Linked DNA regions of Oryzias latipes. The protein of the gene in region 1 purifies or fractionates together with the protein of each later gene. This does not show direct contact. Links are inferred from orthologs where the notes say so. Each region holds a gene or a part of one and is shown in the gene's direction. Other genes may lie near its edges.

Region 1 (8,145 bases):
CTGAAACATGCATTTACATGGACTTTTTATTGAAAGTGCTTGAACATGCAAGCTCTGTAAACTTTTTGCCTTTCTTGAGTTCTCAGGCATTCACTGTGGTCTATTTCTGAACAGGGGAGCGTCTCTTCCCACTGATCCAGGCAATGCACGCCAACCTGGCAGGAAAGATAACCGGCATGCTGCTGGAGATCGACAACTCTGAGCTGCTGCACATGCTGGAGTCCCACGAATCCCTGCAATCAAAGGTGCTTTTTTTCACGCGCTAAAAATGTCAAAATACGCACTCACGCTAAAACAGTGTCTTTGATCAGGTGGAGGAAGCTGTTGCTGTGCTGCAAGCTCACCAAGCCAAAAAAGATGCAACCCAGAAAGTGGCAGGCATGGTTACTGCCACTGCTGCTGCTTCTGCTAATTCCTGAAGACCGGATGGCGTAAACACCTGGTTAACAAGTATATAAATAACAGTAATACTTGCTGTTTCAAGCATTTGTGATTTTGCTGTAGTAATAATGAATCATTGTGTCTTTTCAGAGGTAAACGAGCTGAGGTGAACAGGAACACACTACAAAATCCTTCAAACATGATGAAAACCAAGGAAAATACTTTCAATTTTGCAAAGTACTTGAATATTTTAAAAATCCTTAAAGTGGATCATTTTGTAACTCCATAATAATTTTTAACTGAATACCAAGATCAGAATGCAAATTTATCTTGAATACAAACTCTCTTTCAGTGGCAAAAGAGGGACGTCATTTTCATTAAAAAAACCAAACTGATAGGAAAGCCTTGAAGTTTGCCTTTGCTTGAAAGCTTCACATTTGACTAAACTGATGGGACTCAGTCCTATCATGTTAATGAGTGTGTGGTATTCTCAATAAACATGTTATATATTGGGCTTAGTTGTCTTTTATTTTGTTGTCTAAGGTATTTTACTCTTGACAGAGTTAAACCAGTATTCTAGTTTTAAAATTTATATATATAATCATTCTTCTTGATGATTGCTCACATTGTTTTTACTTCATATTTTGCTTTAAAGAAAAAAAAAGCTTTTATTTTTACTTTATCCTGTTGTTGACTGACCGATGATCAAAAGAGCACAAAGATGTATTTTAGTTTTGTTAAGATTTTGAAACAAGAATTTGAATTAATAAAAATAAATATTTTCAAAATAAAAGTTTTCCCATGTTCACATTTGTCTGAGTGATAGCTTTAGATTTCAGGCAAGCCAGAGCAGTGCTATTTTAGTTTTTTGTTAGTGTCTTGATGGAATTTTCAGTGGATCCAAAAAAAAAAGTAGCGTATGAATGCTCTTTCTAGAAAATAATTAAATTAGTCTTAACAAGCTGTTTTTATGACTTTAGAGTACTCCCCCCACCCCGCAAATGTCATTTAAATAGACAAACTTCACCTTTTTCAGAGGATTTAAAATCAAGATGTTTTTCTTTAAATCACTTACACAAACCTCAAAATGATTTATTGGAAGTAAAAAATCAAGTAGAGGAAATTAAGTCTGGCAGACATTCCACATTGCTCTATGATCTAAATGTTTTGAAGGTGCCAATTGCACTGTGGTGTAGTGGTTAGCACTCGCCTCACTTCAAGACAACTCTGGATGTGACTATTCTGTGTGGAGTTTCCATGTTCTCCCAGTGCATGGTTGGGTTTTCTCAGTTTCCTCCCATAGCCCAAAAATGTGCTTCATGGTTTGTTGGCAATTGATTTGGCAATCGGTTAGTTCAAAAGGGGCCCAAGTCCACAATTTTTCAAAATAGAGATATTATATGTTTTATGGTCTTCAAGGGAAAAGCTATATGATTATGTGCAAAAAAGTCCCAAGTCTGTTGTAATGTATTGACTATGCTTGACATTTAAAATGCATTAAGTGCAAAATTCCTGAACTTGGGCCTCTATTGTATGGGTTTAGTTTTATCCCATTGATGGCAGCACTAGTTATCCAATATGGCAACGCCCCTGTTTAATACAAGAAGTGCCCAAGTCCAGAGACTTTAGTTTGCTAGTCCTCTGAAATTATAAAAATGAGGTGCTTCATATTATAGCATTTGTAAGCTATGAGCTGGTGCTAAATCTGGGTAAAGTATTAATCATTTGGTGTTGCCTCCCTTTAAGCTATGCAATTAAAATCATTTCCTGAAAAAAAAACCTCTTGGACTTGGGCCCCTTTTGAACTAACCGATTCAATTCTGAATTGTCCCTTAGGTGTGAATGTGAGTGTGTGTGGCCTTGTGACAGGCTGGTGACATGTCCAGGGTGCACCCCCCTTTTGCCCAACAGTGTCTGGGATAGGCTCCAGCAACAGAGTGAAACCAAACGAGATTCGATGGGTTTGGGAAATGGATGGTTTGGATGTATCATTTGGAACAAACTACCAAAAATTCTCTGTAAGTGAGAATTTACATTTAAAAATGTTGATCTTTTTTAGCTGTTGACCTGTTCTTCTGAATCGGCCATAAACACAGCTTTCATCAGTGAATTATAATGTTATTGTTTGTAGTGAAACACAATGTATTGTGCTTTACAACTCTAGTGCTACAAAGGGAGTGGGGTAAAATTGTGCCCTTAGGGTTTTGTTTCAGATAAAAAGTATAAAACCTTAGTTAAAACATGGTTGGGTTTCCGTAAGAAGAAGGTGAGGACTGCTGGGTCACTAAAAGCAGTGCTTCTCAACCTTTTCCCACTTTCTCTGCCAGGTAACCCTCAACAGTAAATCAGTTTAGAAATACAGAAAATTTATGGAACAATAAGATAAAAAATAATTTGAAAGTAAAAACAGTTTAAAGGGATTTAGCAGCATTATAACAACAAAACTCTAAAGCAAAAATTACATAACATTAGTGTATTTTAGCTGTCCAAAAATTATTGTGATACATAAAGTATATATTATATTTGAAACCACTGAGCTGTTTTGTTTTATTTTTAAAACATAGTTAGGTATTTCCATTTAAAAAACAAAAAAGACAAAAAGCCAAAACGACAAATATGATTGTTTTCATCTGAAAACTCTGGCACATTTCACAAATGTGTTTGAAAAGAGTCATATTGACGGTCATTGGCTCTATAGATCAGTTGCTGGACCTAAATATGACCAATAGAGGGCGCTGTGGATAGTTGAAGAGGCGGGCTTCCTTTTGATTCCACCAATCAGAGGCCGAGGTTAAAGTTCAACATCTAGAATCCAATATGGCGTCGAATAAAAGGGTTCTGTATGTCGGTAAGTAATGATAACTTTTTAAATTAACTATGAATGTCAGACCGATCAAGTTACACTCCACTCTGAACTAAAACAGAAATTAAAAGCTCTTTTATGCTAATTCCTTCTATAAAAACTTTTTTTTACCATTTATGCGGGGAAAACCAAGGCGAGTCAACGTTGTATTCCGGTCTTATAGAAACCATCACATGCTGCTAAGCCAACTCATACAGAGCTCACTGTTTTCGACTTTAACATCCTGGTTAATGTACGATGTGTTCATTCAAAAGTACGAAGATGAAGCATTGAGTGTTGAGTGTTTGCGCTGCTGCTTCCTCCAGGTGGTTTGGCGGAGGAGGTGGATGAGAAGGTTTTACACGCAGCCTTTATTCCCTTTGGAGACATCACAGACATCCAGATACCCCTGGATTATGAAACAGGTCAGATCAAGTTTTATTTTATAATCATATAACAAAAAAACAAAAAAAAAACCCTGATCATTTAAGTATTTTTTGTGCTTACATTTTAGAAAAGCACAGAGGCTTTGGGTTCATTGAGTTTGAGCTGGCAGAGGTTTGTGCTTTTAAAGTTTTCTCCTTTTGAATTGAATTATTGATGGCACAAAGGATGGATTCAGAAAACTCATTTTTTAAAAGGTATTCACTTGAAAAACGTTATAGATTCACCAAACCAACAAGAAAAACTTTTATTTGTTGTTTTTTTTAAAGTGCAAATCAAACTCTTTGATTTGATCATATTAATTTGAAAATAACCCAGAGTTGTATCGGTGAATCTTTAACAAAAGTGAGCTTTTATTTTCTTGAATGCATCCCTTTCTCATCACTGTCTTTCCTTCAGGATGCAGCAGCAGCTATTGATAACATGGTAAGTGACTAACAGTTCTTCTTATTCTTTAAAAAGATTGGGTTTAAATTGTAGCTTTTTTTTGCTGCCAGAATGAGTCTGAACTTTTTGGACGGACTATCCGAGTGAACATCGCTAAGCCCATGAGAATCAAAGAGGGTTCTTCTCGACCAGGTAATCATAGAAGAAGATTCTTAAAATCTGCTTTGTTTTTTATGATGTGGTTTTGACCTGTAACTCTTGTTTTTGTGTTCAGTGTGGTCGGATGACGACTGGCTGAAGAAGTTTTCGGGGAAAACCTTGGAGGAAGCCGAGGCTGAGGCGGTAGCAGCAGGAGAGGCACCCAGCAAAACACAGGAGGTGAGAACTTTTTGTTTTGTTTTCAGGACACTCAGTTTATTCAGGGAATTAGATTCTAGATATTTAAGGTATAAGGTCACTGCATAAACATGTAGTAAATGAGCAATCTTTTTTTCTCTTTAAATCTTAATTTTTAGAGTATAGTTCAATAAATTTAAATGTACAGACCCGTTAGAGGGCCTTTATTTTATTTTTTCACTGAGAAAAGCAGGTTTTGGTGAAATATTGTTGCGTCAGTGTAAGACTAAAAATGAAGAGTGTAAAATGTACAGTGAATGATGAAATGTCATGTCAGGAGTGAAAATCTGTCTAATTTATATAAAAACACATCAAAACGTGACTCATCAAAAAAGCAGGTTTGTGTTTACAATCCAGAGAAATCTGCATTTTCTTAGTAATCCTCATTTAGATTAGTTTGATTGATCCACTCTCCCAATTAGAGAAACCAACTTTATCACTCGCATAACAGTAATAAAATTAGAATTAAAATTGATTCACTGGAGGAAGCAGGTTTCTTATTAAATGCACTAAATGAGTAAATTATCTGGGTGTGTGGGTTTATTTGGAAAGTCTTGGCGCATTTGAACAACAAAGGGAATCAGAAATCCTTTACAGCATTTGAGCAGAAATTACTTCCATAACGGTTGAGAGATAAAGTTAAAAAAAAAAACATTTGTAGGACTATTTTTCATTTATTTATTCATTTTTGCAGGGCTTTGTGTAGGCAATAAAAATATGATAAATGCATTTTTCTGATTTTGCAGGGGGAGCCACAGGCTAAAAAGAGCCGAGTAAATCCACAGGTCTACATGGACATCAAGATTGGGAACAAAGCAGCAGGAAGACTGCGCTTCCTCCTGCGGGCGGACATCGTTCCGATGACTGCAGGTCTGCACACTCAACCAAAAGATGAAGCAAATATTAACATTCTTCTAAAAAAGTGCAAACATTTGCAGTAGGGGCAAAAATGTATTCAGTCAGCTACTATTGTGCAAGCTCTCCCACTTAAAAAGATGAGAGAAGCCTGTCATTTTCATCATAGGTATACCTCAACTATGAAAGACAAATTGAAGGAAAAAAATCAATAATTTACAATTAAATTCTCAAGAAATGTGATTTTTTTTTTCTTCTAATTTTGTTTCTCATAGTTGAGGTATACCTATGATGAAAATGACAGCCTCTCATCTTCTTAGGTAGAAGAACTTGACCAATTGGTAGCCGACTAAACACCATTTAACCCCACTGTGTCCTTTAGTCTCTCTTTGAGGTTGCTGATGCACACTCTATTTACTTTGAATATAATATCAGTCTTCTAAATTCTTTATAAATTATTCAAAAAATGTTTTTCTTTCTGTTTTTATAATAAAAAATAAACCTACTCCCCAATTCTGATTTGAGACAGGACCTGAACATATTGAGATTTCATATCCTATTTTTTTTTTTAGTCTGGGGCTGTGGTCTTACAATATATGACATAACCGAGACCCCTGTTGGAGAGAAATGGCAAAACCACAACTACACATTAAAAAGTCATGTTTCAAACAAATATAGGGACTTTCACCATATGGAAATTGCAGCAGCAATCCTTCACTTTAAAGGATCTAAATAGCATTATTTAGACATTTCTGTAATATGTACCATGTCTCACAAAAGGACAAAAGTAACAGCCTCTCAGCTCCCCGTCCATCAGTCAAAAAGTGACTCCTCGCATGTTTATATACATATACATTTTCTAGATTTCTGGAAACTGGCTGAGGTATGATAACGATTGTTCCAAAGAAGTGCTACAGTTGCAGGTAAAGGGTTAAAAACTGAAGCAGGTAGAAAAGGCTGTTCCTCTGCCTGAGAGTTTGTTTTACGGGATAAACCCACAAGTCCAGTTCAGACAATGAGCGGAGGGTGCAGCAAGAGGAAAGAATGTTCTTTCACAATAGTTTTCCTGCAGTAACACCATTTCTACAGTGCTAAACTTCAGCGAGCTGAGCGGCCATTGTTGCATTTTTTTGCACCAGCTACCTGTATTTTTCTGTTGTCAATGAATGTGTGGAATTAAAGTGAAGTCTTTGGGGAAAATTCTGCAAACATACTCCTACTGATAGATAAACAAAGCCCTGATTTCCTTTGTAGTTACTCTTTTTGTAAATAATATTTGCTTTCTCTATTTTTTATCAAGAGAATTTCCGCTGTTTGTGCACACATGAGAAAGGCTTCGGCTACAAGGGAAGCAGCTTCCATCGCATTATACCTCAGTTCATGTGTCAAGGGGGCGACTTCACCAACCACAACGGCACTGGCGGGAAGTCCATCTACGGGCGAAAGTTTGACGATGAAAACTTCGTCCTCAAACACACGGCTCCAGGTGAGCATCCTGGTTTGGGGACATCAGCAGGATTTGGGGGATTTCTGAGTAAAAGCTTGTGTCTTGTGTGCACAGGGCAGCTCTCCATGGCCAACTCTGGACCAAACACAAACGGATCTCAGTTCTTCATCACGAATGACAAGACAGACTGGCTGGATGGCAAACACGTGGTGTTTGGAGAGCTGGTGGAGGGGATGGACGTGGTCCGAGCAATGGAGGTACAGTACGAACCACGAGCTTCATCCATGTTAAGTTATGACACGTCTGCAGTGATTTATGCAAAGTTTCCCTGCATGGGGACAGTTTGCATAGAAGATCACTTCTTTCTCTGCACAACTTTCCATATTTTATGGTTTTCTGCAACTTCTTTTAGTGTTGAAGCTTCAGTAAATGAGTGTTCTGCTCACTGGAGAAACCCATGTTGTCACATTCTCTTCTTAATTATGGAGGCTCAGTTGTTTTTCTGTCACCCTTTAAAAAGCAAACTTCTCTATGAACGCAATTAAAATCATAGTGGGGTGTCCATATAACCTTAACGAAACGTAACATTATTGCACTTTTGATCTGTTCAGTTTACAAAAATAAAAAAGAATTTAGTTCAGAGGATTAAATAAATGTAACATTCTAGATTTATAAAGAACGCTGCAGTGGCAAACGTTGTGATTTTAGGATTTATTAAAAATGTAATGTCTCGTGTAAATTCTTCTGCTTTGGTTGCAGGCTCAGGGAACAAAAGATGGCAAACCCAAGCAGAAGGTGATCATCTCAGACTGCGGCGAATACGTGTGAATGAAAACCAAACCATGGCTTTGTGTTTGCGTGCAGAAATCTTCATTTGAGAGCAACAGACGGGGGTTCTGGGCTTTTGTATGTTTGAATTGGCATCTTCTGTCCTGTAAATATTTCATTAAATACTTTTTATAAAGAAAGGAGAAGTTGAAGTTTGTCATGTATGGATAATCAACACAAGAAACATTTTTTAGGTTGTTTTTTTGAATTTTTAAAATAACTAAAATGTGTTTCAAAAGTTAAATAAGAGAAAGTCAGCAGTTATCTGAAATGGAAAATAACGTTTAAAAGCAACAATGCATCATAAATAACACAGAGTGAGGAAATTGGCATTCGATCTCTTTTCTACAAAGACAGGGACTTGGATTTACACAAAGTAAAACTCAAGTTTTACTTAAGTCTCTAATGCTGAGATTTCAGCTTTAATCTTGTGAACAAAATAAATAGAAGTTTATTTCATAATGCCTCGTCGTTGAGAATGCAGAAACAACAACTTCCTGTTATTGAGTCCCTAAAAGTTATTTATTAACGTGACAATAAAATATTCATGTTGACTATATGTTTT
Region 2 (7,633 bases), about 9.3 Mb from region 1:
TAAAACGAGCTATGGAAAAAAAAGTCCACACAGATGGTTAATACCCTGTTGAGATAGATCATTAAACCAGTTTAGAGCTTCAAGTTGCTTTTTACCTGAATATTTGTGGGGGATATTTATTCTACTGCTTAGTTTAAGCTTAGTTATTACCTCCTCAGAAAACACAAAGCTAATCTTTTCTCATTGCTGTGTTTTATTATTTTTGTTGCAACAATAAAATTAGAATCAGTTTATCCTCATGCTGTCCTCTGGCATTCAGCAGTTGCTAAAGTAGATTTAAGCAGTCACAGCTAGGCAGTACTCATCCTCTGACACTCAAGTTCATGCCGACAGAAAATAGAATATCAGTAAATAAAGCTTGATTGATATTCCTCTCCCATTACAGGTTATGTCCCGCTGGGAGGAATACATGAGCAAAGTCAAACCCAAACAAGGCAAAAAAGCGGACGTGGGCGATGTTGCTGCACATTTTCCCTTCCACAAGTACTTCTCCAACGCGCCGCAGCCTGTTTTTAAAGGCCGATCATACGAGGAGGACATGGACATCGCAGAGGGCTGTTACCGCCACATCAAGAAAATATTCACCCAGCTGGAGGTAAGGAGGTCACCGACAACCAACGTTCACTGGTTCCTTCTTTGAGCTACTCTTTAGATTTATTCAAACACTGCATCCCATTCCATGTAAAGTTGAGATAAACCTCTTTTGCTTGAATAGTTTGGTTTTTGCAAAACAATAAAGCAGACTTAAAAGCATGTAGTTGCTTTTTAAACATTGATAATTAAGAAAATGGCATTTATAAAAACACGTAATTACTATGATTTAAAGAAGACAACATAGGTAGACAATTATCCTCTTTTTTTCTCCCCCCTTTCTGATTAATTTAAAACACTTGACAAATACAGCTGACTAGGTTCCATTATTTCTTCTCAGCACAAGCGTTGGTCTAACAAAAAAACACCTCTGATTTATGGGAACACCAAGATGGTCTCCAAAAAGCAATAAAGAAGTTATTGGCTAGAGGTAACATCCCGACATGTGTGGTGACCTTGGTTTATCTGGCTGGCCTCTGTATCACTGCATCACAGCATCTCTCCCTCCTCCCTCAGCCTCTCCCATGCTGCAGTGAAATCTGCAACCCCATTAGGAGGTGCTGCTTTTTATGGTGCAAGGTAGCAGGAGCAGCATCCTTCTACTTTAGCTTATCTGTCTGTCTTTCAAATCGAAAATCCATCTTGAATAACTCCATATGCTGTCTATTTTTGGAGACAAAGGGTTACTGCAGATGCTCTGACATCCAACCACATTTCTCTACTTTTTTTTAATTTAACTTTCTTTTTCTGGAATTCTCTCCAATCCTTAATCCCTTAATTTAAATTTCTGATCACTCTGGAGTCATAAAGGTTAAAAATAGACTTTATTAATTTTGCATTTTTTTGATCGATTTAATATTAATGCTAAGATAGTAACACATCAAACATTTATACCCCAGTGCTGTCCAAGTCTACTTCTTCCTTCCTCCCCCTTTACCCTTTACATGGCTTATGTGGTAACCTGAAACAGCCGGCTCACCCATACTCCTACTCGGTTTTATGTACTGGTTTTGCTGGAAGAAACTGGTTGGTTATTGTCAAAAACCCAGCTACTGTTCTTAGATGCCATTCAAAACCATGCATGAAACGCTTTTTATAAAGCTGCAGTTTTTTTCAGCGATTTAATCCTCCAAGAAGGAAAGGAAAGGAGCATGTGGGTTTTATTGTCCCCCCTTTGAAATTGTGCTAAAAAAGCAGATATTTGGTTCTTTCTTGGGTTTGTTTGGCTTTAAAAAAACACATATTACCCAATAAAGAGGAGCCGCCTGTAAGAGAATATTGGTATATTCCCTCAGAGTAGACACTTCTAGTGTATTTACATTCAATTATTTGCTTATCTGCTTGTTCTAGATTTGTTAGTGATGGTCACATTTCTTTTAAGAGTTCTTAAACACAGACACAACTGTTTCATATTTTAAAACTGTATTATAGTTAGTACAGATAGTATATACTTAGTTTAAACACATAAACCTTTTTTTTTGTTTAAATAAAGACATACAAAACACAATTCTTATGTCCAACAACTGAGCAAACAGATCAGAGCTGAAGGCCTTTTGCGTTGGACAGGTTTTACAATCACAAAAAGAGGTTATATATCTTCAAAAAAAACCATAGTGTAAATTTGTATAAACCCCTTTTTGCTTTTTATTATTTTTTATCTATTTGTTACATTTAGTGTGCGTGGGGAGGGATTTTAACATGTTTCTAAATATGTTTAGTGATTTAGCCTCTTTGATTTGTTGAAGATCTATCCATACCATAATAGCCTGCATTGAAAAACATATCTATTCACTTTACTTCTAAATTGAGGTTTCTAGAAAAATACATTAAAATTAAAATACATTTTTCTTTCTCAAATTTATTTTGTATATTCTGGGGTAAACATTTATGATTTAAAACCAAAACTATATTTTACAAAACCGGTGAATTAAAATACCGGTATATATTTTATTTGGAGGATGCCTATAGTTACTTCCTGTGATTATTTTTGTTGCCTTTTTCCAAAAGAAAATAAAAAAAATTGAACCTGTAAATGTTTTGTTTGGGTTTTCTCAAATTTCAATACAATAGATCAAGTATGAATGTCTTTGACAGGATTTTTATTTTTGGATTTTAGTTAGAGTTTTTAGTTTAAGAAATCATTAAAAGTGTTTTTTTATTTAACTATTGTAATTTTCCCAGGATTTGAAGATAGAAATAATTGTCTTTGCTCACAGGAACTGTTCATTACATTCTGCAGTGAAACTGAACTTTCCAAATACAAAAGGCATGAATAATAGAAACAGGAAGTTCTGTCACACTGATTGTTTTTTTTAAGCATCATAGCTCTATAGTGCATCTTTTTGCACTATAAAGATGCACTACTAACCCAATCTTCATCCTTGTTTATAGGAGTTTAGGGCCTTTGAGTTGCTCAGAAGTGGACTGGACCGTACCAAGTATTTGCTTGTGAAAGAGGCCAAAATCATTGCCATGACCTGCACGCATGCAGCACTCAAACGTCATGACCTGGTGGAGCTTGCTTTCAAGGTAGATTCATTTACATCAAGATGTAAGAAAGCATTCCGTAACACATTATTGAGAAACATAAACCAAATGAATCTTCTTATTGGTAGTATGACAACATTCTGATGGAAGAAGCTGCTCAAATTCTGGAGATTGAGACCTTCATCCCCCTTTTGTTACAGGCAAGACTTTTGTTGTAAACTAAAACATATTGCCAATTTAGACAGTTTTTCTGTAAAAACAATTATTCTATCTTTGTATCTTCTTTTGACTAGAACCCAGAGGATGGTTACAGCAGACTGAAGCGTTGGATTATGATTGGAGACCACCACCAGCTGCCCCCTGTCATCAAGAACATGGCCTTCCAGAAGTACTCCAACATGGAGCAGTCTCTCTTCACTAGATTTGTGCGCCTGGGAGTTCCCACCATAGACTTGGATGCACAGGGCCGTGCACGCGCCAGGTGGGAACACTGACGAAACAAAGCAGGGTTCTGGGGTTAGCTTAACAGTGAAAGTGCTGCTTCCACCCTGAAAGGCTGACTGAAAGAAAAGTTGTGTTTGTCATTCCACAGCCTTTGTAACCTTTACAACTGGCGCTATAAACATCTGGGTAACCTGCCTCATGTCCAGCAACTTCCCGAGTTCCAAGTGCCCAATCCCGGCCTGACCTTTGACTTTCAGCTGATCAACGTGGAGGACTTTAACGGGGTGGGCGAAACCGAGCCCACTCCTTACTTTTATCAGGTAGGTAAAAACGCTTCAGTGTACAAAAATAATGTAATCCACCAAATTTGTTGTAAATCCTTTTAGGGAAATCATAGTAGTAGGATTAAAGGTTGTCATCTGGAGAATTGACAAAGCCTTTTGGATAAGAGGTGAAACGTCTTCAACTTTAAAAACCAAGTCCCGATGACAACCTTTAAACCTACTACTATGATGGAATCAACCTGGATGAAAGAGAGTCGTCATAGACACATTTTAGGGAAAGCTTGTTTGTGAAAAGTGTTTTTAATGGGATTTACGGTACCTGGTTTGGATGAGTAGGTGGAAAAAACAATTGGAAAATAGGAGGAAACCATAACAATCTTTTTTTTTCAGAGGTAAAAGAAAATGTTCTTTTAAGCCAAACATTTTCTCAAGTTTTATATTAAAATGCACAGTGACAAAGAACTTTACATTTCTTTTTAAAAAGACAATGCAGCAGGTGGACAGGCTTTGCTTAAATTGGTATCTGTAAAGACTGGAGACCTGCTCACTCATCCCCTGCTTTGATTACTTTTAATTAAAGACATTTAGTTTAATTAGTGACTGTTTCTCATATTTATTGCCAGCCTGCAGTGATTTATTGCCTCCAACTGTGGACTTGGTTATTACAGCAGATTATCTGCATGTTCTGGATTCGTTGGACACAATTTGACTGTAGTTTTAGTTTTTATTTAAATATTTTATGGGAAAACATTTATTACAACCTTATGAACTTAAAAAAGTAGAGCAGAGTAAAAACAAAAATAGGAAGTCAGTCTTAAAATCAGACATGAAAACTGGTAAGCAAACGGTGTAGAGTCAATTAAGCTTTTTGAAAAGTAAATTTTGCACCGTTTTGTACGTTTTTAAAAATTATTTACAAATGCAGTTCAGATATGTTATGTTTTATTTTTGACCCTCATTTAACAGTTGAATGAGTGACAGAAACTACATTTAATGTTGTAGTTTCTGCCTGTTAGACTTGAAGTTTAAAACATAAAAAGCACTAACGTAGTAATTTTTTTAATTTGGTTTTGTACAAATGGCCTTTAATTTGATTTAAGCGTCTTGAAAATGTCGTAAAAATCCTTAAATTTAACTTCTGTAAATCTGTAGACACTCTGAGATTTAGGCAAATCCAAAGTGTTTTGGTGGAGGAATTTCATACAATCGAATCATGAAATGCATCAGATTCATGGATCAATTAACCTTTTTTGAATTATTTCAGACAATAGTTTGTTTGTTTTTAGTGTAAGAACGAATCATCATATTGATGAAGTTCCACTTTTATGCAAATACTTTTTTTGCGAAAGGTAATAAAATCATTCACTTTTAGAAATCTTTAAATATAGCAAATCAAAATAAAGTCTTTGTCTAGGTTTTTAAATGTAATACTTTGCTCTAATTAAATTAATCAGTTATCATTGTTCTGTAACATTTTAGCTAGCCGCTCGACCAACACTTAATGTTTCACTGCTCATATCAGTGGCATGGTTTGTAATCAAGGACATATAGCTGCTAATTCCTCTGTAATCCCCTTTTTTCCCCTTTCTTTTACTTTAACGTGCAGCATGAGTCCGTATTCATCCATCACTTCATTTTCAATGACATGACATCAGTATCTGTTACACCTGTAGCACCCATAAAAACACTGCAGGATCAGCTGAATGGCTCATGTTGCACAATATGCAGCACTTTCTGAGCACAATTGATTGCGTTCTTTTACAGAGATACTGTCACGTACACACGTCCTCCAATGTGGAGAATCGTATTCCTGCTGTGCCTCCAGCTCCTCCTAAGTGGTTGTTTTTACAGCAGTTTCATTCATTTTTAAATTTCTGTGGCTCACCTGCCAGTTCTTAAGTTAAATCTATTACTCTGCAAGCTTACAGTGGTTGTCCGGCACCCACTAGAGGGTTTGTCCTTCACATCAGGAGCCAGATTGAGTTTCATCATGACATTGCTCAGACTCCAAAACAGCGTGCGGACAGGCGGATCTGCTGATGGGGTTGTTTGTTTTTGCACAAACACCAGCAAAATGCCATTTATTTGGTCAAATGTTATGTCTTATGCTTGTCTCAATGCTGTATCCACCTGTTGCAGAAATACACAATATAAAATTATAAAGTTTCACAGAGAAACAGGTTTTTCTAAATGACAATACAGCTGTTTGTATTAGATTTTTAGTTACGCTGATAATATTTGACAACCTAAAATGAAACATCAGACGTTCTTTTGAAAATGTAGATGTTCAATAATTGTAAAAAACAAACAAAACAGCTCTTTTGATTATCAGTAGTATAAAATCAAAGCATTTTTTTAAAATAGTCTAATTGCGAAATGTTTTGTTTATGCATATTCAAGATTGCATTTGCAACATTATTGCAACATTATTAGTTACACAATTTCAAATTTTTAATTAAAAAAGTTTCATTTCTTAAAAAATAATGTCCCATTTTTTCGTCTCTAATTTTAAATATTCAGTTTTCGTTGTCTTATGTTTGCTTTTGCAGATAACTTATTTATTTTTAAATGATTTTTTCATTGATAACTGTTTTATTTCGTATTTTTTCATTTGATTTCACAATAGTGTACTGCTCATCAAAACGTTCTCTACTGTTTCACAGTCCTGGTCCTTCTTCTGGTTGTACCATGCATTTTCCTCAGGCCTTCATTTACTCCTAAATCCAGATCATGTGCGCGTCTTAAGGCAGCAGGTCACATGAATCTCGTCTCCCCTCCAGGTTACCAGTTTCTCACTTAGTTGCCAGGATATAAAAAAACAAATACTGACTTTCCAAGGAGACGGATGGAAAACACTGGAGTTGAATCCAGACCTGGATAGTTGAACATGTTTTGCATTAAACTTGCTAAAGCTGAACCATGTCGGAACCAATAAATGCATGCAGAAGTCTTTTGCTTCTTCCCATTTTCTAAATGAAGTTTAAATCCATTGATGTTACTTCAGTGTTGTCTAAGGGCTCATGAACAGTGAGATCAATGGCCTTTCTGTCACACAGCTTATACATTTCTGCTTCACATTATGCATCTTATATTACATGAAAGCAATTGATCTGATGAAACCGATGGCAGTGTAGATTTATGCTAATCTTTATGTGCAGTTTATTTCTATGTTCTTGTTCTATCCCTTCGTCTTTTATGGTCTGTATTTTTACTTGAGGACTTTCTAAATTCTGGTGACTAAATTTAGAAATTTTAGATTAAATTAATCAAATTCATAACTTTTTGAACATTTTTGTTTAACAGGAACATGAGGGTTTGAAACTGGAATGGTTAGACATATTTTAGATGGTTTTCCTGGTGTGCACTCTGAAATTGTTTTTTTGTAATGAACTACTGCTTCTCTGCAGAGACACTGTCCTATAAAATGACACAGGTTTGGCATAATCGTAGTTAAAAGGCCACTGAGAATGCTTTTAGAATAGATCTAAAGATGGTCTGTAATGTCATTTTCCAAAATATACAGAGCAGTGATTAGCTTACGTTTACCGTTTATTTTATGTATAAATATATATAGATATAACCTGTATGTGTATGGGTCTTTTTTAGTACTGGCTGTTGGAAGGCCAACAAAAGACGTCATTTTTTTGATGTGTTGATTTCAGTTCAACTGGATCAGAAACTGTTGATGGAGCTGCATAAATTACTAGGAGAGATGAGTGTCCTGTTTATATTTAATTGAATCTGGCTGAATAATGCATAATGTTGGGTATTTTTTTGAATAATTCTGTTTCAGTCAACATATCAGTTTTGCCCGTGTCACAACATGA
Region 3 (7,276 bases), on another chromosome or scaffold:
TCCTACTTTTTAGATCTAAAAGAAGTTCTTGGCCTGGATATCAACTCTTTTCTGAAGTGTCCCACAGGTACGCTGGTCTTTATCTGGTTGGCGTCTAACCTGATATTAATGCCCTGCTTGTAGATTTTACAGGCATCTGATGGCAGCATCCGGGACAGCAGAGGGACTACAACAGACAAGAATTGGATACATTAGTTTGTGGAAGAAAAATAGGACAAAAAACATTGCTAATTACAAGAGAACTTACAATCTTTATTGCTAGTTTTGTTCATCTTGTTAACTGATCAAACTGAGTCTTAAAAATGTATATGCAGTATAGTATGAGAACTTAATACTAATGAAATAAAATAAAATATAAACTCACCCCAACTCTGAAAGTCCCAATGAAGCTCCAGATAAAAGTCACCAAGCTGGAAAAAAAGTGATAAAAATGCTAAATGTATTTTGTTTAATGTCAGCAGTCAGATTTCTGTGATGCAGGTTAATACATGAAGCTCCAGCCAGAACAGAAACACTCACCTCTCTGAGAGCTTTCAGTAATTTTGGCCGCTTATCTTCCACACTCTCCCTGGACTGCTGCTTTAACTTCCTCAGCACTGCAGTAACTGGAAATGGCAACAAAAATGACTTAGCGCAGAATCAAACTTTCAGCCCCATCATGAGTGTTTAAAATAAACGGGAACGACTGATTGACAAAGATCCTACTGAAAGAACAATACAAACAAAATCAAGGTCATGGAAATTCATACAGAAATTCTCTTGTTAAATTTAGGTTTTAGTGTAGAATTTTTACCAAATTAAAACTTCACTGTTCACAATTTTTCTGTGGTCTAAACACAAACAAATTATTTACCACTATGTCATCATAGGTAATCACCTAAGAAAAGATGAAATCATTTGTAACCCTTGTGCTATCCTAGGCACTTTAATGTTGGGAGTTGGGTCATCTAGACCCACTACAGTGCGCTGAACCTTTTTTCTTCAATGATTTGTGATCTTCACTGGTGTCCATGGATTACATGAAATCTTCCACCTTTATCCACCTTTGTCATGGTAGGGAGAACACGTCAATGGAAGGGTGGGGTCATCTAAGATAGCACAAGGGTTAATCAAATCAAATGTAATATATTGGCACAAAGTCCGGCAATGACTGAATCAGCAGATGGGAATAACTGGTTCAAAAGTCCCATCTCTCTATATATAAATAAGAAAGAGCTAACCAGTGACCCTTCAATGATAGACCAGATGAACCAAGTCAGCACTTCTGAGTATATCCCAGTAATCTCAGAAATGCTGCAATGAGGATGGATGTGGCTAAGAGGGGCAGTGCTGACAAGGCTCCAGGATGTAATAGTTTCACACACATACAAACAGCAACTGAGCTGCTGACACAAGGCGCCCAGGCGATGACAGATGACAAGATTGCAGAGTTTTGAGAACTGCTAGGAGAAGAAAACAAAGGTGTGCTTTCTAGAGCAAACCTTGCTTTAACTGAACGGTACCTGCTGTTGATGCTATTTAGGTTAAAGTCCAAACACCCTGCTGTGTCAGTGGAGTTTGACTTTCAGTGTCCTTGCTGAACATTTGAATGTAGTCAGCTCCTTTTCCACCTGCTTCTCTAAGCTGTGACCTCCTCAAAGCTCCCGAGTCCCTCTCCCTGACCAGTCTGTCATGACATGCAAAGATAACCGAAGCGCAGGGTACCAGAGGTCACGCTCATTGATTTACTACACTAGAGACCCTGAGAAATGAAAAAAGAGGGAGCTTTTTCTTTAAAAACTGACTTTTTTTATTAAGTTGGTTCAAAAATGGGGCTGCACTGAATTTAAAGAAGTCCTATTCTGATGTGGAGCAGTAAAGATCTTATAAGCTAAGCTCTTTTTAATATCATAAGCTGTGGCAGATGCTGATATCCAGATCATCTGGATGGCGAGTTCGTGGAAAATCCCGACCTTCAGCTTTCGAGTTGAACCCACACGGCAGCTGCTAGTTGATCAGTCATAGAAATGTCCTCTGAACACTAATAGTTTTACCTTTGACTCAAGCAGTAGGTTCAACATTTACAGGCTGTTTCCTTCTAAAAGAGTTTGTCAGCAAAATAGAACATTTTAGAACATATGATTTAACTTTCAACAACTAAAATGCTAAAAAATGTAGAAAAATGTAACATTTTCCAAACAAAACATAACAGAAAAAACAAATCGGGCTGAATCTGTTAAATAATTATACAGATAGAATAGAAGGAGGACTTGGTTTGTTCTGATTGCTTACTCATCTGCCTGTCACCATAGCTGATAGCTTCCGCCAGAGGACTCCATCCCTGTGCGTTCTTTACTTTCACAGGTGCATTATGGGCCAGGAGAAGGAGAGCACACTCTGAAAGATTACAAATAAAGGAAACCAGTGAGTAAAGTTGAACTGACACAGTAGGGGGAGGTGTTTTTAAAGAACCATATTTTTACTTGGGACATTTACAAGGTTTTTTAGGCAATACAAAGCCATTTTTAGGGTGCTATAAATGCATTTTTACTATGGAAGAAGTTATTTTCCTATTGTCAGAATATGCGTTTGATTCAAAAAATCAAATTGATGCATACCATTATATAATCGTTTCAAATTAAATGTAGTCAATTAAAATCCATGTTGGATGGAGGCACTGTAGGTTTGTTTTACTAGAACGTAAAAATGACCAAGTGCATCACAGCACATGTGATGGCAGCAAAAAATGATCAAGCCATCATTCCAGTCCAATGTGTGGAAACACTTTGAACTTTGCAAAGACATGTGACCACAACATTATGCCACATTTTTGGTTATAGATGTTCTCGGTCGATTTGGTGTCAATGAATCGGATCAAACTGGATCCTTCAAACTGAAACAATATCAATAAATTGTAACCCCAGCCACAAATTATGAAATCAATCAAATCATTGTTAAAATGAGTTGTTACACCACTATAAATAATTAACTAGATTTTTTTTTATAACATAATCCTCTGGAATTAGATTGACAGATTACCAGGGTAAAGGGAAAAGGCTCCAAATAATTTCTGCTATTGTTATTCAAGCTTACCTTTATGTCCCATCATCACAGCCAGGTGAAGAGGTGTGTTTCCTGAAAAGACAGACAATTTTCCCTTTTTTAATAGACACAAAAGATTGCATTTAAAAACAAAACTAAGGATAAACATGAATAGGAATTAAGTATATTAAAACCTACCATGCACATCCTTCTGAATGATGCTGTGTGTCCTAATGAGGGAGGAGAGTCGACGCACGTCTCCTTTGAACACGCACTCGTGCACAGGAAACTGCAATTCCTCGTTGGTCAGGATAATAGGATTCTTGTTTTTATCAACGCATGCGTTGTCGTTGATGTTGTTTGCATTGAGATGCTGATGCTGCTTCAGCAACGAGCTTTCGATGGATTTCTGGAGAGCCTTATTTATCTTGAAATTGTTGCTGGTACCTTTAGGGTTGGTTTCGTTAGAGGTTTCGTCATAAATGTCCCTTATCTCTTCATTTTTGTTAAGCTTGCTGTTGTGGTCTTTCCGCACTGACCGTAGTTTTTCACCTGTCATGATGATGATGAAGAACGGGGGATTGCTAGCCTTGAACTCGACGGTGTATCGGTGACGTTAATTTGTCCGCAAAGCAGCATTAGCGAATTAAATAAAAAGTGAAATCAAATAAACCGCCAATACTTTCAAGTTAACTATATATTTTTGTCATTTAAAATTATTTCTAAACGTTAGACGGTGGCTTTCCGGTTAGCTTGCTAAGTCACAATAAAAAAAATACTGTATGATTATGATGGGTGCGGCTATGATACTGAAATTGATGCTGAACATAAAAGAACACTGTAAATAAACAAAAACAACGCAGAAAGCTACATCGTTTTTCCTTGTATCATCTTTTGTACTTACTTTTGAAAAATTACGGCGGCTGCGAATTATGAGCGTTTGCAGGAATAAACGGACGGCTACAGCTCATGCTAGGTTCTCTCGTATCGCGAGATTTCACGGTAGTTCAAACGAACGACGGTGCTACGTCATTTTAATGAGACGGGCTGTTGCTGATTAGCTAGTAGCTCGCTGGCTAACAACAAACTCTTATGATGGCGACTTCAAAAAAGGGGAAAAAGGTGGTAAATCAAGAAGAACTCCGGCGGTTGATGAGGGAGAAACAAAGACAAACCGCTGACAAGAAGCGCGTGGAGTCTCCGTTCGCCAAATACAACAGTCTGGGACATCTGAGCTGCACGCTCTGTAGTGTGCAGGTGAAGTCCGATCTACTGTGGCCGGCTCATGTCCTCGGTAAACAACACAAGGATAACGTTGCAGAGCTAAAAGGAGCAAAAACGACACCAGCGCCGAGTCAAACACCGAAGAGAAAAGCCCCTGACACCGAAGCAGTTACCGCAAAAAAGGCGAAGCCCGCGTCGGTTGCAAGTCAGTCTACATCCGATGCTTCTGAGAAACCTCTCACCACCCAACAGTCTGCGGGTCTGAGTCTGCTAGCCGGTGTTTATGACGACGAGGATGCCAACGCTGAGTCTGAGGCACCTGCTCAGGGAGCGGACGGAGGCCTTCCAGCCGACTTCTTTGACAGTTCCATCCCATCCACACCCGCCATCTCTCACTCCGGATCCGTCCTGAAAGCCGAAACGAAGGAAAAGCCCCCCGAGAAGAAAGAAAACACATCGGAGGTGCTGCCCGAGGGCTTCTTCGACGACCCAGTAAGGGATGCCAAAGTGCGCAATGTGGATGCTCCCAAGGATCATATGGACAAAGAGTGGGAAGAATTCCAGAAAGAAATTCGCCAAGTGAACACAAAATCCGAGGCCATCGTTGCGGAGGACGATGAAGAGGGGCGTCTGGAGCGCCAGATAGACGAGATCGACGAGCAAATCGAGTGTTACAAAAGGGTGGAACTGCTGCGGGACAAGAGAGATGCTGTGAAAAGCAAAGCTCTGCCCAAAAAAGACAAACCAAAAGAAATACAGGAAGACGTAGACGATGAGGATGATGAAGAGGAATTGTTGGGACTTTTGACCCAGGACTGGAGGGCCAAAGGGGCTCTTGCTTGAGTTTCATAAATGCATCACTTCTTGTGTCCAACTCAACTCAAAACAATTATTTTGTACAAAAAATGCTGTCAACTCAAGAGATTTATAACTAACTTTCCTTTTTGTCCGGTCTAGAATGGGTTTTGAAAACTGCAAATCACAAGTAAAATGGATTATTCAAAGGAGAACAGCGTTTTCTCTGTCTTTTGTCAAAACTATTGCGACCAAAAACAAACCTTAAACATTCTTTTATTGGTGCTCAAACACAAAACATTCATAAAATCTCCCATGTACAGTAGCAGCATGAACTCGTCAGTTATCACGGAAAAAACATTACACACTTTAAAATTTCCAAATGTTTCATGTCACACAAGAAGCAACATGCAAAGTAAAATACAAATGATTAAACTTTCAATTTAACTCATTTTACAAGGGAATATACATTTTTACAAAGCTCAAAAGGAACCAGGATAGTTTTGTATTCAAACGCCTAACAGGTGATGGTCAGTGCTTCTTATACTACCTGTTACTGCAAGTTAGGTGTGCTTTCTGCCTAAACTACATTTTTATTGCTTAATCTGCCTCACACGGATGCACCTCAAAGATTCAAAGCGAGTATAGCCCTTCAAATATGAAACAGGAAAAAGTACAAAGAGAAGGACGCAGACTAAATACTTGATCCCAGTTGTAACTTAGGAAAATATGCATGTCACATCTTAAGAAAGAGCATAAAAGTTCATATTTAAGATCAACAAGGAAAAGGTATAAAAACACCAGAGGTCTGACAAAAACTGTGTTTCTAGTAGTCATTTGTAAACATTCAAAATACAGATCTAAAGATTCAGGTTAGCAGGACCGCATAGTTGTGTGAATAGGTGAGGAGCATCTCCATAAACTGGCAGTTATGTTCTATCCTACTATAGAAAAACACTAAATCATTACATCCAGATGACAAAAACAGGAGTACATGGATAAAAGTCGGACACTGAAGGTGGAAAAATGGACTCCAGGCATCTCTAAAAATAAGCAGAATTCGATTAAACAAGAAGCAGACATGACTTCCTAACACTACAGTTAAATATTTGGTAATGTTTTGTGGTGGATGAAAAGATAAAATGGAACTTAGGATAGAAGGATTGAGCAGATCAGCACTGCCCCCCCCCCATTCAGCATGACAAAAATCCAATTCACAAAATAAAATGCAGCAACTTCAGAAAAAAAAACTTGCAGCCCTCCAGACCTGTCTGGGTTTCAATACTGTTCACTGCTGATAGAATGTGTGCTTAAAAACCCACGGCCACTCTCAGCTCTGTCAGGGAATACATCTTGTCCCCGTTGCTGTCGAAGCACTCCATGGTGCGTTCGCTGGGAGCCGACGTCTGCAACACTTCCTTCAGGTCGTTGTAGGTAAGACCGGGAGAATGAGGCTCTGCAGCGGCTCGCTCAAACAGGTCTTCTAAATCTATGAACAAAACAACAAAACTTTATGTGAAATGCAACACTTATTGGATTACCACCTTAGGGCTGAGGTGGTCTAGGAAGTACTTTATTTAAACCTGTAAGATGGGGTAGTTTTACCTTTCAGAGAACTGACACCTCGCAGGGACACCCTCCTTGAACATTTTACCCCCGCATTCCTCTTGTGCCGGGGTACAGTTAAAAAGCGAGGCCGTCTGCTCGTCGTCAGCAGTGGTGAAGCGGACTCTATTGAATGAAAAAAGAAAAAACATTACAGTGAATCAGTGAAAATACAGTTTACGGTTAGTAGAAACTGATCAGTATTACTGTACCAGGAGATGCTGTGGTTGTAGGAGCATCCTTTAGCATCCTGTTGTCTGAAGGTTGGCTAAATTCTGGTGAAGTTTCTGTTCCATTATTCTGCACCTAAGAAAAAAAAAACAGTAAAATTTTAGGTATTTGGAATAAACAAAATAAAAATAGACAAGCATTACACACAATAGCTTAACTCTAACTGTTGGACTTTAGCATAAAGGTGTTTTACACCCAGAATGATATTGAGTTTGTGGGAGAACCTGATGGCAGTTTGTGCCAATTGAGCAGCAAAAGCTTTAAAAACAACCCGTATTTTGGTTTTAATAAACAGAAAACCCTGTAAATGAATTAATATGATATAGAACAATCAATTTATCAAGGTGAAAACAAAATATCGGTACGAAATAGGGCTGCACGATATGAGGAAAACTTGCAA
Region 4 (8,371 bases), on another chromosome or scaffold:
CAGATAAAATAAAAGCATTTCAATGGGCCTTTTAGATGAACGTTTACTTCGTAATCTTCATGGTTAGGAAACCATCAGCAGCTCTTAAACAGGTCAGCTGACATGATGGGTAGACAGTATTCTGTCTGGTCCTCTTAAAAACCTTTTGTCCTTGAGAAACCTTGGATCATTTTACATAAGAAGTGTGATCACAAGAATTCTGACACTTTAATCATTGGAAGCAATAAATCAGGATAACTTGCCTGCATGGCATCATCATGTTTGGTGACATATTGTTTGGAGAGAGCAGACGATGCAAATATGACCTGGATATGTGAGAATCTGGAGTTTCATTTATTTATTCACAGGCTTTTACCAATGATAATCCCATATGAGAGTGTTTCTTTGTCTCACAGTCCGGTCAACAGCAGAGACCCATATCTGTGTCAGATTTATAAAAAGTACAAATTGCTGACATTACTTTAAATTAAAATCCTAATCCATTGGTTTTCAATTTATTTTAAAAGCATTCCCAGTGGTCTTTTTAATTATGATTTTGCCATTTTAGCCAATTGCAAAAAACCTGTGTCGTTTTCTGGGACAGTTTCTGCAGAATTGTGGATGGGACTGTTGCCACAGAGCAACTCCATGTCCATCACCCATCTGTATACACACTCTTTCACTATAATTTACAGCCCCTTACAACCCCAACCGAACACTAACGATGCAACAAAAATGGCAAGCAATATTGGAGCTATTCAGCCGTGGAGTTTTTAACCAGACTCCGGCTCAGACGAGGAAAAGTACGACGTTCTAGGATCTATTTGTCTACAAGTGGATGCATAGGAATGGAGCAGAGCAGGAAGCCTGTGGCTCACTCAGCATATTTTTTTACCTTTTTACATTTAAGTCTTCCTGATTCAGAATTTGAATAAAGAAATATGCAGAAATGCAACTTTGAATTTAGGGTGGATTCAGACTGGTCACATTTGGCTCTCTTAAAGTAAAGCAGAGTTTGTTTCCCCCGACAATCTGGAATAAACTTTCAGTCTGAATACACCCAAGCGGACTCTGGTCCAGGACCAAGAACCGCTCACTGACCCATGTTTCGAGGTGAGCTTCGGTTCACTCTTAGATTTCCTAAGTCTGAATGGGCTCTGTGCTCGGAGCAGAACAACTAATCCAAAATGGCAACCGCAGCCAGGCATTGCATGATGTAAACAGAGTAACGGAGCAGCAGTAAGACACACCAACTCATTGAAATGTGGTTGGATGAAAGCAGGCTCATTAAAACAACTTTTAACATGATACACATTGCCTCTAACACAATCCAAATAATCTACATGTCCTAAAAACGTATCAATGTACCTTCTTAGCAATTAAAAGTAAAATGCCATAAGAACATATTACAAATACCTATTATACTAGTGGGCCTTTTAAGTCATTCCAACAGTCATTTATTTAGCAAACAACACAAAAAATGCCTCTCCATGGATAAAACTCTTAACTGAAGATAAATGCAGTTATCATTGATTTTGTTGGTCATGAAGCTGACAGACTTTGCACCTCCAGAGTCAGCAAAAACATGAAACTGTTGCATAACTCTTCTTCTTGTTTTCCTCTTGGCTTTTCCCTTTAGGGGTCACCACAGTGAATGAGGTTCCTCCATCTGACCCTGCCTTCAGCGTCCTCTACTCTAACACCAACTACCTTCATGTCATGAAAATGTTACATAAATCTAAGACACAACAATAAAATCAAAGGATCTGTTTTAGCAATGGGTCCAAACTGAACCACCTCTTTCTTTGTAGAGTGAAGATGTGAATTGATTTTTCATTTTTTAAGCTTATGTTGTAGGAAGACACTGTACAGGGGCGTAGTGGTTTGCGCTCTCTACTCACAGATTGATTGATGACACTAAATTGCCCCTAGATGTGTGTGAGTTTGAGTGTGGGGCCTTACAGCAGAGGGTGTCCTTTTCCCAAAAGTTGATGGGTTAGATCCAGCGACCCTGTGACCCCAAAAGGGATCAACCAGGTTCTGAAAATGAATGGATGAATGTTGTTGGAAGGCTAACTGCTACCCCTCAATTTAGCAAGTGGATATCAGCTGTGATCTGGCTAGTGCAGCTTTCCCACTAACCAATCCCTCAGCAGCTGTTTGGTTCCTGCTCCTCATGCCTCTTTCTCTCTCTGCTGTGTCTTCCTTACTCTTTGCGCTCACTGCTCTGTCACAGCTTGGAATTTTCCAGTCTGCAGCAGGAGACCATTGCAGCCAGCTGGGCTGTCAATTGTAATTTATGCTCAACTCTCACACTGTTTGCACACACTCCTATTCTCCCAGCCAGCTTTTTTTGGTGTGTGTTTTTGCACAGCGATAGACTCATGTGGACTAGCAAGACACCTCACAGTGCGCTTAGCATGTTTAGCTCTGTGCACCCTGCAGCAGATCCCATCATCCTGAAGGCACTGTGTACATTAAAGCTCTGCTAAAACAACCAAAGGAAGCTTGGTGCACAGGGTTGGTTATTTGGGCAGTCCAGCAGAAGTGCGGATCCACACTGTGGGCCTCAGCAACCTTCTACACTTTCACTGCTTTTCCACATAGACTCTCATCTCATGCAGTCTTTGGAATTTGCTCCAAAAGAAACAAACTTGTCTTTTATGTCTGTCTTTCTTTCGTTCCCTGTTTTGTTTCATTTAATCTCACAGCTGAAATCCTCCGAGGGCACACATGTACATGTAACATGTGATCTGTACACATCCGAGGTTTGTAACTGTTAGCGACACATTTCCCAGCTTCAGCTCAGAGTATGTTAGGCCTGCAGAAGTATTTTAGATTTATCTATTAAAAGTGATCTTCACTCCAGATGCAATATGGATTTATAAAAGCCCTTAATCTGTTTTCCTTTCAATATTTTTTCTACTGAATAAATCATTATAACTATGTGAACCCAGGCTGATATTTGTGCCGTGTTCAGTACAATCCAAGGTCAGAGCAGCTATTTCCCAAAGGTTTTCATGGCTGACCGGCATTATTGAGATGCTGATTTGAGTTCTGCCCACACTGTCAAGGATATCAGTTCCTGGTTTAGAGAGCCTGGTATCCCTGAAACTGATTAAGACTCACCTGACCTAAATCCTGTAAATGTTCGGGGCTATAAAAAATAGGAAGATATGAGATACCAGATGTTCAACAACACAGAAGAGCTGAAGACCATGGTTAGAGCAATCTAAGCATCCATACAATCTCATTAGAGGGATCAACGTTATGCAGAATTGCCACTGTAATTGATCAAATGCAAGTCCCTGGCATGCTCAACTTTCTCAACCGTCCAATTTTCTTTTTTAAAAATTTTTATTTTTCTGGTTTGAGATCATTTTCTTTAAAAAAAAAAGCCTCAGAAAAGTAGTTTAGGTGTAATTTCTAGAGTTTTAAACCCATAAAGCCGGATAGCTCTGATGTGTCAAAAAATACAGCATGTGTCAAATTTAAGGTATATTATCATAAGGATAAAAATGTTACTACAATGTGATAGTATACTCAAAGATCTGCTAGTTTACTTTGGCTTGAACCCATCATGGCATCCTGCTTTTGAACCGTCTTTACAAAACCCCAACACTGAAAGTCCACATAAAATTAGAGGAGATAAAGCAGATAAAAGCATTCTTTTAAAGCAAGTAGAGAAATAACATATACTAATATATAAAGTTAAACTTATTATTTCACTGAATATCTCGTAAAGAATATTTGCCATAGAAAAAAACTATACTTTCAGCAGTTAAATTTACTCTTCAGGTGGGTTTATTTTTATTTTTTTCACTATTCTATTTTTACCACTTTCCTTAACTTTTAATGGGTTTTATTTATCGAAGCTTTGGCGCCATCGTGTAGCAGGAAATGATAAGCTACCAAATCCCCAGGATCGTATTTCCGTTTACTCCGGAAGTGATTAAATATCTAACCTGTCCGCTGTCTGCTACGATCTCTGAACAAAAACAAGGCTCGTGGAGGATGGCAGACATTGGGTTAGAAGAGCTGTCGCAGCTCGAATACTTGTCTTTAGTGTCCAAGGTTTGCACGGAGCTCGACAATCATTTAGGAATAAACGACAAGGATTTAGGTGAGTGTTTTTTTCTCACTCCGAATTGTTTAAAAACATCTAGTTAGCTTTTGCTAGGCTAACTAGCTGTTATGTGGCTGTAAACAAACTAAAGCGTATCCCAATGTTTATTCCTTGTTAAAGAATACAAACAACAGTTAAACATGTTAAGAATACTGTTACCGTCATGCGCGCATGACCTAGCTTACGTATTGAATATTCGTTTATTTTAAAATACGTTTCTAGCTATGTAGTTAGCTTGTTTCTTTTCAGCAGCAGGCACGCAGTGGCATATTGAATAGTTTTTATTTTTAATTGATCGAAAAACAGTAATGTCAATGTTTAAGTCTATGAACAAATTACAGATCACATCAAAGACTCCCGTAGAAAGCAACAACTAATATCTTTCAATAAGCCTTCATTGGATTAATCATTTTTAGATATTCATAAATTGATATAACGTTTTCATTAATCCAGTAAATTTGCAGGTCTTTTTTTGTGTTTGTTGAAAAAACCTTCTGTTTCTCATTTCCCAGCTGAGTTCGTCATCAGCCTCGCTGAGAAACAACCAGCCTTTGATGGATTCAAAGCTGTTTTACTTGAAAATGGAGCCGAGTTCACAGTAAGTCCACTTCCAGCCGCTGACCTGTGACCCGTTCTCCGGTGGCTCCTGTTGAAAACCGCCTCGTTTTGCTGTTTGATTTTCAGGATTCTCTCATCAGCAACTTGCTCAGACTCATTCAGACGATGCAACCTCCATCCAAAGCATCAATGAGTAAAGGTATGTTGATGCTGAGGAACATTTTCTCCTGATTTAACAGCTAATATGCATATTTATACCAAACATAGTTCAGATCAGTCATCCATAAATAGTGATTTTGTTTGCTTCTCGTTTAAACTAAGCAAGTGTTATCTCTTTCAGTCTCAGAAGCATCTGTCAAACCCAAATCAGAGAAAGACAGGCTAAAGGAGATGTTCCCCGCACTCTGTAGACCCGATGATCCTGTACCAAAAGTAAGTTGGGAAAGGATTTTATCACTTTATTTATTCATTTTTTAATGAAAAAATGCTGACATTTGACTTTTTTTTGGTGTTTGAATACTTTAGCAACACCTGGATGAGGACGATGTCAAAGTAGCAGCTGATGCGATGAAAGAGCTTGAGATGTTTATGCCCAGCGTGAGTGGGGCAGAGTCCAAGGGGGGCAAGACAAAGTAAGACTTTGATTTTTGTAGAATAAAATCATTTGTATAGAAGTTTGTTTTATTGTGTAAAATGGAAACAGTAAACAGTGTGACCACAGATTCTTAAAAGGTCTTTTAAGTCCCAGTCTGATCCTCTTTTGATATAGTTTCAAAGCGTTCCCAGTAGTTTTCTAATTATGATGATGATATTTTTAGCCAAAATCCAAAAATCTGTGTCATATGAGGACTTAGTTTGTGCAGAGCAGCAGGAGTTCATTAGAAATTTAACTCTGAGTTGTGGGCTGAAACTGTTGGCACTGAGCAAGCCCGCCCCCACTCTTCGTCACCCATCTATTGGAGCTATCCAGTTTTGGGCCAGAAACCAGCTCCGACGAGGATCTAGTCGTCCACCAGGGAATGTAGCAGAATGGAGCGGAGCATGGGGCTTGTTGCTCGCCGCAGTGGCTTTTACGTGACACCTAAAATCATCAGTTAACCGCAATCCCACACCGTCACAGCTCTAGTTCTGAATTTCATAGGGCTCAGTCTGGTACATTTTCGGTATTTTTTCAGTATAAAAAAGCCAGAAAAAGATTTCTTTGCAAAATGCATTTATTGGTTTTATGTAACAATAAATAAAAATTGACCAATGTAGGTGATTGCTTTATAAAATAAGAAAAATTATTAGCTGTCAGGAACCAAAAACTTTGAATATTTTACACTGGGTTGGAAAAAATTAAAAACATTTTAACTTGCACATTTTTTTTTTGCTTGTAGACCCGATTTTTACATTCGGGTGATGCTGTTTTAAGTGTGTTTACAGATTCGATGTGTTACATACACTATGAACTGCAATGACATGATTCTGACCGTGGTTGGAAAACGCTGACTGGGGAGATCCTCTCCAGGGTAGAATGTACTTTGAGTTTCTTGCAATTATGTATCTTAGGTCGGATAAAAGCAGGCATCGCAGCAGAAGTAGAAGCAGAGACAGACACAGAGACCGAGACCGAGCCAGGGATCGAGATAGAGACAAGAAGCGGCGCCATCGTTCTCGATCTCGATCCAGATCTCGCTCCAGAGATCGCCACAGAGATAGAGACCGAGGCAAACGAAGGGAGAAGTCCTCCCGCTGGGGTGACCGTTCCCCCAGTCCCCGAAAGGAGCAGGACAGGGATGGAGACCGCTGGAAGGACAAACATGTGGACCGCCCCCCTCCAGAGGAACCTTCTGTTGGGGACATCTACAATGGCAAGATCACCAGCATCATGCAGTTTGGATGTTTCGTCCAACTGGAGGGATTAAGGTCAGTGTGGGGTTTAAAAAATCAATTACCCTGAATAACTTCAAAGATTTTTCTGACCTTCCTGGTCTGTTGCTCTTGTGCCTTCGTGTTGTGAACTCTTCTGGTTTAGGAAGCGGTGGGAGGGACTAGTCCACATCTCTGAGCTGCGTAGAGAGGGACGAGTCGCCAATGTGGCTGACGTTGTCAGCAAGGGTCAAAGAGTCAAAGTGAAGGTGCTGTCGTTCACAGGCTCAAAGACCAGTCTGAGTATGAAGGTAAATAAAAGATTGACTCATGGCTTCAAGAAAGATTTGACATGTTCTCACCTTTGCAACTCCTAACTTTTATTGATTTATCTGCCTTCGCCAGGATGTGGATCAAGACACAGGAGAAGATCTGAACCCGAACAGAAGGAGGAACGTTGGTCCAGAAGGAGAAGAGGTCTCCATGAGGAACCCTGACCGACCCTCCAACCTGAACCTTGGCCACGCCCCCGAAATGGAACAGGACGACACTCTGGAGCGCAAGAGACTCACAAAGATCTCTGACCCCGAGAAGTGGGAGATCAAACAGGTGTGCTCTAGTTTTACAATTTGAGTGTCTGCTTTTCACAGAGATGACTGCCTCTTTATTTAATTACAAAACGGATATATTTACTGATAACTAATTAATTAATTGGCCTCTAATCTAAATGGCCATCGGTCAAAAAAATTGATGTCATAACCTGTTGAACATTATTCTCTTTTGTGAGGTTTCTTTTGTGGAACTTTTTCCGGTAACAGAACCTTTTGTTGTTAAACAGATGATTGCTGCCAATGTGTTGTCCAAAGAAGAATTCCCAGATTTTGATGACGAGACAGGAATCCTGCCTAAAGTTGATGACGAAGAAGGTAAGAAATAGTCGTCCACTTCTATAAATGTTCCGTCTGCTACAAAACCCATAAAGTAGAACTTCATGCAAAGTTTGAATCCACTTTCCTGCAGATGAAGATCTGGAGATCGAGCTGGTGGAGGAGGAACCCCCATTTCTGAGAGGACACACCAAACAGAGCATGGACATGAGTCCTGTTAAGATCGTCAAGGTAAACTCAATTCCCTGTCGCTTCAGACTGAATAACAACAGTTCTGACTGAACTCAACAGCTAAATGTCGTAAATGTCATCTTGTTGGAACAAGCTTTTCTATAAACCTTATAAAGACCCACTCTGATGAAAATGGTGTGTTTGGTGTTTTTAACATGCAGATGGAGGATATATATGAAGAGAATTATGAATCAAATTGAATTTCTGAGTATTTCTCTATTCAAATTGTTGTGAATCAGGAGCAGCCGAAAAACAAGCTGTTTGAAAAAGAGCGTATCTGTGATGTCGAAAATACGCCGGGCGGACCACAAGCAGGGAACCCCAGAGCAACAGGCTCGCCCACAACTCAGCTGAACTTCTATTATGAGTATTGGTAGCTGTTGTCTGAGTGCTGCTGATGTGTGAGTTACTTGAACTCAGACATTTTCTTAGTCAATCCAGTCGGAACAGATGGCAGAGTTCCTGAAAACTGGTTGCCTTAAAACGCTACTTAGTGCTGCAAGATGTTGTGGAAAGAAAACTGACACAAACTCGGTTTTAAAACAAAAGCTGAGCTTTCTCTTCACAAAGGTTGCCTTCTCCGATTGGGAGGTCCCTGCTTGTTAGAAACCCAAAGTAAAAAGAGGCTTTATTTATCCAAAACAGGAGTTTGTAAAAGTTTGTAGAAAAACATCTTTTCATAGGAGCATGTCGTTTTTCTGTCTGAGCTCTGACTCTGGTTCCCCCCCACCCCCCCAGA

The links.
Region 2: the proteins of ppie (region 1) and aqr purify together in Homo sapiens (affinity purification with mass spectrometry; 5 studies listed by BioGRID and IntAct, counting the BioPlex papers as one, with this or other methods). This does not show direct contact. The link is inferred for Oryzias latipes from reciprocal best matches to the Homo sapiens genes PPIE and AQR.
Region 3: the proteins of ppie (region 1) and znf830 purify together in Homo sapiens (affinity purification with mass spectrometry; 3 studies listed by BioGRID and IntAct, counting the BioPlex papers as one, with this or other methods). This does not show direct contact. The link is inferred for Oryzias latipes from reciprocal best matches to the Homo sapiens genes PPIE and ZNF830.
Region 4: the proteins of ppie (region 1) and dhx8 purify together in Homo sapiens (affinity purification with mass spectrometry; 3 studies listed by BioGRID and IntAct, counting the BioPlex papers as one, with this or other methods). This does not show direct contact. The link is inferred for Oryzias latipes from reciprocal best matches to the Homo sapiens genes PPIE and DHX8.

Annotation. Positions count from the first base shown.
Region 1 is NC_019880.2:16,794,401-16,802,545, reverse strand, and holds ppie (peptidyl-prolyl cis-trans isomerase E), read left to right. Parts: upstream 1-3,128; 5' UTR 3,129-3,198; coding exon 3,199-3,229; intron 3,230-3,549; coding exon 3,550-3,648; intron 3,649-3,737; coding exon 3,738-3,781; intron 3,782-4,066; coding exon 4,067-4,093; intron 4,094-4,164; coding exon 4,165-4,246; intron 4,247-4,328; coding exon 4,329-4,432; intron 4,433-5,196; coding exon 5,197-5,320; intron 5,321-6,605; coding exon 6,606-6,791; intron 6,792-6,866; coding exon 6,867-7,009; intron 7,010-7,511; coding exon 7,512-7,580; 3' UTR 7,581-7,777; downstream 7,778-8,145. Other genes in the region: pabpc4 (polyadenylate-binding protein 4), read left to right, coding at 115-245, 312-419. UniProt on the Homo sapiens protein: Involved in pre-mRNA splicing as component of the spliceosome. Combines RNA-binding and PPIase activities.
Region 2 is NC_019880.2:7,499,321-7,506,953, forward strand, and holds part of aqr (intron-binding protein aquarius), read left to right. Parts: intron 1-385; coding exon 386-595; intron 596-2,982; coding exon 2,983-3,120; intron 3,121-3,206; coding exon 3,207-3,278; intron 3,279-3,371; coding exon 3,372-3,559; intron 3,560-3,670; coding exon 3,671-3,842; intron 3,843-7,633.
Region 3 is NC_019875.2:26,992,459-26,999,734, reverse strand, and holds znf830 (zinc finger protein 830), read left to right. Parts: upstream 1-4,058; 5' UTR 4,059-4,113; coding exon 4,114-5,088; 3' UTR 5,089-5,255; downstream 5,256-7,276. Other genes in the region: ankyrin repeat domain-containing protein 13C-like, read right to left, coding at 100-166, 365-410, 520-605, 2,272-2,376, 3,073-3,114, 3,220-3,580; efcab14 (EF-hand calcium-binding domain-containing protein 14), read right to left, coding at 6,351-6,529, 6,646-6,771, 6,858-6,951.
Region 4 is NC_019877.2:18,257,700-18,266,070, reverse strand, and holds the start of dhx8 (ATP-dependent RNA helicase DHX8), read left to right. Parts: upstream 1-3,930; 5' UTR 3,931-3,993; coding exon 3,994-4,102; intron 4,103-4,617; coding exon 4,618-4,703; intron 4,704-4,789; coding exon 4,790-4,862; intron 4,863-5,003; coding exon 5,004-5,095; intron 5,096-5,188; coding exon 5,189-5,295; intron 5,296-6,214; coding exon 6,215-6,571; intron 6,572-6,680; coding exon 6,681-6,825; intron 6,826-6,919; coding exon 6,920-7,123; intron 7,124-7,352; coding exon 7,353-7,440; intron 7,441-7,534; coding exon 7,535-7,632; intron 7,633-8,370; coding exon 8,371-8,371.